Linked DNA regions of Neodiprion lecontei. The protein of the gene in region 1 interacts with the protein of each later gene in a pairwise test. Links are inferred from orthologs where the notes say so. Each region holds a gene or a part of one and is shown on either strand. Other genes may lie near its edges.

Region 1 (4,864 bases):
CAGATATTCATATGGGACATCGCAAAACAGGTGGGTCCCAATGGTGAAGGTGGAATCGCAAGATTATTTGTCATTCGCTATGCCTAAATGTGGGATTTTCTTAACTCAGATGATTCGGCACGAGATCCAGCAGAGCAGTGGCATAAGCAAGCTGGTTTGGCACCTGAACACAACACGGTTGTATTCGTCGGGTCTTGACGGAGTGGTGAGATCGTTCGACGCAAGATCTGGTGAAGAGCTTCGCTCCTATACGGGACATCACGCGGATATTCTCGATTTGGTAATCTCTCGGTAAGAATCAATCAACGATTTATACGGTCGTAAACGAAAGCTAAATTAATTGACCGATTCGGTTTTATAGCGATGGAAAGACAATGCTAACCACCTCGGATGACTCCACTGCCCGGATATTCAATATCGGTGATCCAAATTGACACATCACAAAAGAGGATTTATTTCCCATTGATCACAAAAATGCGGGTTTTATCTTGGAGAAAACGATTTTTGATCGACATACGATAGAGGATAATTACCCGTGATTCTTTAATCACACCAATATAATTATCCTCAGCAAATTTCCACATGAATCAAGGATGGTGAAAAATAAATTGTATTATATTGTATACTAGATACTGAACAGTAAAGAATTATTTGTTAACTTAATTGTTACGATTATTATTTGCCCCATTTATGTATGATTTATAGCGCGTCAAAGAGTTGATTCCAGCATTTTTCAAAACTGTCAAAACTTTCAGTAAAAATTCAGTCTTATTTTTCGAGCAAAACATTTTTTCGTCCTAGTATCGTCTTGTATGGCCCTTTGTAGACTAATTGGACCCTCAGGAGCACAAAAAGTTAGCAAAGCGAGCAACAGACCAGCAATGGAAAGATTACAAATCTTTAATTTTTCGGCTGGAACTCTTGATCAGATGCTCGCACCGTATTCGAACTGTGTGCAATCGATTCCTCTCGAAAAATTACGTCGATATAGTGCACAAAGAATTAATTTAACCATTTCTTCAAATCGGCTAAATTTCAACTGAATAAATCCAAAGGGTTTCCTTGCTTTTGTGCGATTTTCAGAGCTCGCAAAGTTTTCGTCTGAGATTCGTTTTGCAGTGCTCTTATTCCACTAATTGGACCGTCAGGAATCAGAAAAAGACATCAAAAACAGCGTGAGTCCAACAGCAGTGGAATTGCCAACGAAATCTTTCGTTTTTCGGCTCTAATCTTGATATGTTGCTCGCAACGTTTTCGGACTGCGTGGAATTGATTCATCATGCGCAATTATGTGAATGCCCACATACAATGTAGATACATCAGTAGACCTGGGGTTCCCCTTTATTTTAATGATTAAAACTTGGGTTTATTGAAGAATCGGTATCGTCTTGACTAACATTAAGCTCCGATTCCTTAAGATCTACTTTCATCACAATTCGCAAATGAAGTGTCTTCATCTCGCAAGAGGCTGAGGAAGAAAGTTTTCCTCACTCGCATACGGGAATAAGTGCGATGCCTAAATAGCACGAATGGAAAGAATTAAGAAACGCGTGTAATCTAAACACTGCCTCCCGATCGAGCTTCGGTTTCTTCTTCCTCCTCGAATCAGTTATCATCATCATCATCATCAGGAATCCGCCTTGTGAGAGCGAGGCGGTCTGTAGGTCAGGCAGGTAGTCGTTGCATCCTCGTTCCTTCTCCGGATTTCTTCCCCTGGTGAGTTCAAATCGGGACGTCAGGTGGGGCCTCTCGTCCTCGAAGTATTGCCCCTGTTCTCGCTCACCTGCCGTAACGCGGTGCGGTCGTCGAATCGCCGTGACTCGCGCTCTCCATTCAGTCAACATTCAGTCAGCTATTTACCTTGCCGCGCCTCGCCTTACTCGCCTAGCACAGCGAGCAGCACGCCGCCACTTCCACCTGGCTACAGGTAGGCATAAGGCAGGCGACAGCCACAGTCACTTTCCGATCTAAACCGAACCTCCCCGAGCGAGTGTGGTGTTAATGTGCCGGTGACCGCGTACCCCGTACGGCCCGTTGTAGCCGTATAAGTGGTTAAAGGTAGACTTCGGCGTTAAAAACTGCTCGGATATTATTCTCGATCGTTTCTTTACCCTTGTTTCATTACAATTATCTTGTTATCGGCGAACCCTCGGTCTCGAGACGCGACGCGCGCCTTCTTAGCGCTCTACTTTTACGTAAATCGCCGCGACTTTAACGATTCGATCTTCCACACCTGTAATAGACGGTGAATATTTTGGGAATGAAAGGTCGCCGAGTACCGATCAGTGTTCTGCAGTGTGCCGCCTTATGGAGTCTTGGGATTTAGCCGATTAATACACCCGCAATTACTTACGCGTATTCAACAAGGTGAGCTAAGCATCTGTTACGTACAAATCGATGTTAATACATACACGTAATATTGTGGGAAGCGACAGGGACCTTGATCTCTGCACGAGACACTGGAAAATTACTACGGCGATCTGTATTTCATTTAGGGATTATACACTGATACGCCCGATTTTTGAAGCTCGGTCAATTGCTTTTTCAATAGTTTCGCCTAGATACACGATCGTGTGTATAGAAAATATTATATTTCTCATCTCTCTCACGCTCCGCCGCGTCTAGCAGGAATCGAACTCTGTAAGGCCTACCGTTACCGCTGACCGTTCCTTCCTTCATCGTGAATTCCCCATATATTTTTGCAGTCAATGACTGCTGTGCTGCTGCTGCTGCTTAATACCCTGGCTGTTGTACGGGATTCCCGATCGGGCGTATCGAGAGACTCGGTAAGCTCTCGCGCCAAGTACACTCGGAGAACAATTTTTTCAGACTCCGGTTTCTCTACCGTAGACACCTTTTTCCTTCCTCCCTACAGTACTAAACGGTGTATATATAGCTGCGTGCAAATTTTTTTGGTACAACAATTATGAGTATGAGTCATACATACCTGAGAAAAGTAATAATTAAACGTCGTGTAAAATTATCGCGTCGCCACGATCCCGCAATTTCAGTACGCATGTATACTGTGATGTAAGCATGTATACTATGCATTAGGTATGACTTATAAGGTACCCAGGAAACGCGGCATTCGGTCAGATCAGCTCGTTATGTCATATGATCAATGTTGGCACAGTTGCGCGTGTGCTTATAATGCACATACAAGTATACGATCCTTCGATATCTATTGGAGTATTTGTTAACCTCTGATTGCTTCAATTACTGAGATTTTCCATGTTTTTATAACAGTAACTAAACGCGCCACCCGATGTAGTGGTTGACCGTTTCAACCATCCCGATTCACTTTGAGACCTGTTAGCTGTATGTTTAATTACATTATTTTGAGCTCCGAATGTGATTTGAATGCCTGATATTCTCGAAATCCAAGTTTCGATGTGTATGTATGCATGTACATACCTATCCTAGGTATGAATTATACATTCACATCTACGAGTCGTGCTTAACTCGGGTCGCGCACGTGCGCGCGGCGTTACGTAGTACATATCAGGCTGAAGTTAGTAACGTTATTGTAATGATTTACGTTTCGAAACAATCGTTATTACACAGTTGCAGAAATGTCTGAAATGCAGTAAATCATAATAAGGCAAAACGTATTCATATTTCGAAAACTGAACTATTTCAAAGTCACTATAAACTAGCGAAAATCATCATGTTTCCCTGAATGTTTCGTGGCCTTAACGTTACTAACTTCAGTCTCATTAGTACCCTCCTGCACATACAGCCAACATGCAGACAAGACATATAATATATCCGATAAACAAGTGCATAGAAATATGACCGCACGCACTCGGATATACCTACGCGTTGTGTAAACAATACAACGAACTCTCACCATCCCTCTCTCGACGTGCAGAGTCACGTACCATGAAGATTGGTGATAATTAGCTATATTGAAAATGAACCGCGGTTGAGGAAGAGAGCCGCAGGAGGGTAAGCAAAAGAAAAGATCTGCAATTTAGTCCGGAGCACTAGACATAACGCACACACGTAAACATCGTCGTCAGCGAATCGGATGTGCGCTTCATTTTTCAGCATAGGTACAGTTGACGCGAATTATCGACTATCGAGTCTTATATGTATAAACGCGTAAGCGGATATAACCGACGACGATGGTGTTATCCAGCCGGGTTGCGCGGCTGTGTACACACTTACTGTACGTGTATAAATGTATACAGGCAGAATATCTAACCCACTTCGCAAACAGGTTTAAAGTTGGCTCTTATACCGTGAGCGCTAACGGTGATTGACCAGGATAACAACTCCCCTGTCTCGCCGCGGCGCGACGGGTCTCGAAGAACAGCATCGGTATGAGAAACGGAAAGGGGCCCGTTTGCGCACGTTAAATGAATAAAATATCTAGGTTCGATCTAGGTATTCTGCAGCAACAGCAGCAACAGCAGCAACCTACTGTTGTAAGTACCGGTGCAGGTTCGCGCGATAATTGCTTATGGTAATTACATCCCCGACGCCCAACACTGAAACACGTTGCACCTCGTGGCCGGTGATTGTTTTGCGTACGAGGCCGAATAGAGCACTCCGGGCATCGTATGCATGTTACGCGTACAACGTACAATACGTGCGTGTATCGACGTCCTCATCCTCTTCGACACCGTCGAAGTTACAGGCTTACAGTACACGCGCATCTTGAATTAAACCCGTGCCCGTTACAAGTCGCTGTGGGCTGTAAGATATGCCGCGGGAATGCGGGATCTATGTAATGATGATGGATTTTTATGATACTCGAAGGCTGCCTGATAAACAGCCTTGTCGCGTTACATACTTACGCTTGTGCCATAAATGTCGTTTTACTGCGCGTATTATTATAATACGTAGTATACGCACTTTT
Region 2 (4,948 bases), on another chromosome or scaffold:
GGCAGTGTATCTAAAATATGTCTCACTTCTTATCCTTTCGCGCAATTCGAGAAATACTCGTCATCTTCAAACGAGAATCCCTTATTATTCTCGTTATCGTGCCAAAATATTTTTAAGACCCGACCGCATCATCCACTTGGCTTATAAAGTCACGCCGAACCGGTTACTCTAGATAGGGTCAATGTTTAATTGCATAAAAACGGAGAGACGACTAATTGCTAATTACGCCTGTCTTCTAACGCAATTAACAATAAACGAGGGCCGGCGAAGCTTCGCAAGATCAACGTCGCTATCACGTTTCGGGCTGGACTACGAAAATCATTTCATTCATAAGACGAGCGCGTCTTCTTTTCGAATATGTATCTCTTTGAAATCTCTGTCAGATCTCAAAGACCCGCCTTATTCAAAACTTTCGGCTGGGCTTTCAATGAATGGAAAATATATCGCTTATCGTTGTTATATCCCCCACAAGCTCAGAATCAGACTAGTGATGAGAATAAAAATGTTTACTTTCTTCGCCGTTATTATTTTTACTAACGAACGTTAACGCTTAGTAAAAACGTTAATGTTAACCAAGAAAGCTCAATATCCTAAAGTAATTTGCATCGCCATCATTATTCGCAATATAATATATCCGGAAAAATTTTACATGTTTTGTGGATAAACAGAGTTTTAAAATACGATTATTTGTTATTATCAAATTATTTCAGCTGCCAGTAACGTACATAATAATACCTTTGCATGTTTGAAAATCATTTTAGTTTCACTGTTATTATTTATTTTTCTTGATTTCGACTGTTTTAGAAGAATTGTGTGTCTTAGTAAATTTATGCGCAAATTTTTTTTACGTCAGCTGATGTGGGCAGTGATCTACCAGAACGATAGATTACAAAACGATCGACAGATCCGATATAGAATCGTAGACAGAATGTTCAAAAAATTCTTAGAAAATGCAGTTTTCGTCATAGCGAATGACCACAGAAAATTCGATTCTAACGAGCTCGCGTAACTTTGAACAAATACTGTAATTTTCACTGTAGAAAATCATAGAAAAATTCGACACATCTATAGTATAGAAGCATTTGGCAAAAGATGTACAGAGAAAAAAGTGATTTATAAATATGTGGGGAAAAAAATTAAAAATGTACAAGAGCCGCAAACTTCTGCATATATCTGTAAAATCCAGCTTTCAACTTTTTCGTATCGATGACAAAAAATGATGTCAATTTGCAATTTTTCGATACCACTAGTTTCTTTTTCTAATCATTAGGGGCGTCATTGGTAGTCTAAATCCAGAGTTTCGACCAGATTCTGAAGTAGCTTCAGCCGCAATAACGGAATTTATGTGGGATTTTCATTTTTTCATATTACTCACCCATTTTCAGCTGTATTAAAATGGTCTCAGCTAGACTTGCAGGAAATTTAATTCACTACAACTCTGGTCGCAACATTTTTTTGCCTACGGTCAAAATTTCCCGACTTAAACAATAAATTCAGGACGACTGTCGAAGCTATTGAAGATATTTGGTCGAAATTTTGTATTTTTACTATTAATGATCCCCCTTTCCCAACGATTAGAAATATCGAATAGTGGTATCGAAAAATTGCAATTTTAGGTGTTCTTTTTTGTACATAGCGACTGGGCTACTATTTGCGGAAACGATAATTAAACGCATGGTGGTAAGACAGGGAGATGCGTACGTGAAAGGCTGAGCGCAAAGCGGCGCAAAAAGGCGCAAAGAGGCGCAAAGAGGCGAGGAGAGAGGGGGAGGGGACCTTCCACTGGGACTTTGCGTCGTCGGCTAATGTAAGAAAGAGGTACAAGAGAAGGGAGGCTATCCGTTGGAAAGGAAAGGAAAGGAAAGGGAAGGAAGGGGACCCCGATCGGCCCCGACGGCACTTTGGCGTCTACCTGAGCGCCGAGCACTCAGTCCGAGTCCGCCAGGTTTAAAATCTAGCGCGCGGTGCGGCCGAGCTGCCTGTTGATCGCTGTCAAAACACTTGTGTCAACAGCCCCTGTTGTTGTACTACGGAGTTGATAAGGCGCGAGGAGACGCCTCGTATTAACGGGTGAACTCGAAGACCTCGACAACAAACGCCGAGTTATCGTTGTGCCGATCCGATATTAGGGTCACGTGTCCGTTGCCCCAGTGACACGCGGTACATTCGCCGATTTGCTCCGCTTCGCCTCGAGCGAATCGCTACTCGCGCGATCCTTTTCTTGTGCATGTGTCGTGCGGTGCTGTGCGGGGTGAATGTGAATACCTACCTACGAAACGGATTTATTAGTATCCTAGTCTTTAGAGCGCACGAATCTATCGGTCTATGCGGTAAAAATACCTTGTCAGTTCTCTATCTTTTTTTTTTTTTCTTTTTTTTTGTACTCCGCGTCGTTCTTAAAAGTGAGAAATTTCATCAACGCCACCGTGTGCCCGTGACTGTGACTGTGATCATTGTGACATGCCGATCTGTTGACTTACCTCACACCTCATCCTCCAAAGCGGATATGCAGATACTTTGCTACTGGAACGGATACTGACTTTCGCCGATCATGGTACGTCTTTTACTCCGTCGAGATCCATGGGTATAGATATAAATTATAAAGTTCACGAGGAAATATCTTCCTTTGATCATCGCTGATCGCGTCCTATTAGTCTACGTACAACGTTTTGAGTCTACGATGACACTGTCATCGAGTCTATCACACATGGCTGTAGCTCAACAGAGGCTTGTGACAAATGTTGAAATTCTTTACGCCCTGACGCATCGAATAATGAATATAGGCAGTAAGGTCTATCGATTCTCCTTCTGCATTCTAGAGCCATGTATTTCTGTTGTCTCACGTTGACTAACTGAAGAGGAAAATGATCGATAGCAGAAATGGTATGAGGATGAAGCTAGTAACGTTACCGTAACAGTGGATGTTTAGGAGAAATAATCGTCTCAAATTTGATGAACCATGATAAACCAAACATACTCATATTTTTAAAAGCCAAGTTCTTGAAATTCGTTCAGGAATTGCACAGTAATGATATTATCCCTGATGATTCGTTACGTTAATCTTATTAACTTCAGCCTCGTGAAATGGTAAGAAGTAAAATTTTCAACGCTGCTTTCACATTGGAGTTAAGAATGCAATTACCTATTAATTAGAACACGAATGGTAAATTGGCTTCGAATGGGGCCGGGGAAATTCCGGATTATTCAGATTGCCATCAACAAACCTGTGAATATTGTAAACATCAGTTGCGAAAATATAATGACGCAGGTGAAAAGTTATCAGCTATGGGGATCAAACGTAGGTGAGAAAACGAAGGGCATAGGTACGAAGAGATCAGAGATCTACAGATAGTAAGTACACTACGGGTTTGTTGCACACACACCTGCGGAAAGTTTATTAGCTCCATCCGGATTCCAATTTCCGGTCTAGACCTGCGAGTGGATCGAAAAGAGATCACATCGGTTCGTTGATTAATATTTGCAACCGGTTAGAATCCCTCAACTCCAATGATTTCAATGAGATTATGACGTTGTCGACATCCCAGGCTAGAGCCAATAAATAATCGAATCTGTAATTCATGCAAAAATACAGTGTTGAACGAGCAAAAATCATAAGAAATAAAATTGGACGATTCCCAGATACTAACAAACTTAGAACTCTATTTTATTTCTGAAAATGCATTACACATTCCGTTTTTGATCTGCTAAAAGCTTTTTAATCGGAGGTAGAATACGTTAGCGAGTTGACATTCTTGACATTGACATATTAAGGCTTGACATTCAACTTGAAAATCGAACCGTAAGAAATATTGTTCGTTTAATATAAAATGCACTTCAGAGCTTTCGTGAACAAAAGAAGTGAGCAAGTGATACGGATATAAAAATATTTAGACATTGCAATCTCTAAGTCACTTGATGTTCACGGGTAAAAAACGAGGGAAAATATGTTCTGATGAAGTAATTTAATTAAACTATTGGTTTCTCAAACTACATCTTAAGTTCAAGTCGCAATCTCTCGAAAAATGTTGAAAACGTACATTTCTGTTTCCAAATTCAATTAACCGTCAAACTGGATGCGGCTGATCTTTTTGTGGTTGAAGCGGAATTCTGGGGCAAAAACTCTATAAGAATCACTTAGATTCATTCGAAATGACTGAAAAAAGTCTGTTTGGTCGAACTGTAAAATTGGTGATTCGCTGTAGTCTAATTCTCTTGCAACAGAAGAGCAGAATCATAACCGAAGGTTAAATTGCTGGTTTTACGGATTTCCGATCCGGGCTCATGAATCATGAATCATGAATCGATGGGTTTTTCAACGCTTCTACATCCTTGGCTTTTTAGATTTCAATATTGCTTTAGATGCCACACCGCATCGCAAACAAACAAGCGCGATACTTGCTAGAAAATTAATTTAAAAAATATAACGCGTTAATCTAACTGAACATACATTGTGAGTCAAAAACCAATCTTTTCTCGTACTTATTGTTAGTAAAATGCAAAATACACGTGATTGCCTAATCCCTTATCGCGTGCGGTGAGGTAATAATTCTATTTTTTTCTGACTCTTTTGCGAGCTGAAATTGCCTGCAGCTACGCACTAGAGCGAACACTTTTCAATTTACATCTTATATACGTACTACGGATTTACTCAATAGCGAAGACCGCGTAATATGCCGTGGAAGAAAGTTACTTTACAGCTTCCGCGTTTTACCCTTTCAATCACGCAATTCAATTACCTGAGAATGCAAAAAAAAATAAAAAATTCGGGATTTTCCAATAGAACATTAAAAAAAAAGGAGAAGAAAAAAGATTGCCACTGCGAATGAAAGGGTTGACCGTAGTCTTCCGTTCGTTCAATTGCGACATAAATTAATTGCATCAAGAAGTAGACTTTGATACTAGACAAATTTGAAGGATTCGACGCAGGCTTGTCGTTGGCTGTCAGTTT

What was found.
Region 2: the proteins of myosin-VIIa (region 1) and cadherin-99C interact in binary tests that used the Drosophila melanogaster proteins (3 or more experiments, as listed by UniProt). The link is inferred for Neodiprion lecontei from reciprocal best matches to the Drosophila melanogaster genes ck and Cad99C.

Annotation. Positions count from the first base shown.
Region 1 is NC_060264.1:23,440,554-23,445,417, reverse strand, and holds the start of myosin-VIIa, read left to right. Parts: upstream 1-1,832; 5' UTR 1,833-1,927; intron 1,928-1,946; exon of another isoform or gene 1,947-2,367; intron 2,368-4,864. Other genes in the region: angio-associated migratory cell protein, read left to right, coding at 1-30, 110-291, 362-434. UniProt on the Drosophila melanogaster protein: Myosins are actin-based motor molecules with ATPase activity. Unconventional myosins serve in intracellular movements: can function in cells as a single-molecule cargo transporter.
Region 2 is NC_060260.1:9,972,907-9,977,854, reverse strand, and holds the start of cadherin-99C, read left to right. Parts: upstream 1-1,918; 5' UTR 1,919-2,551; coding exon 2,552-2,554; intron 2,555-4,948. UniProt on the Drosophila melanogaster protein: Cadherin that functions in epithelial morphogenesis and the intestine epithelial immune response. Essential for female fertility. Regulates the length and organization of apical microvilli in developing follicle cells and salivary glands.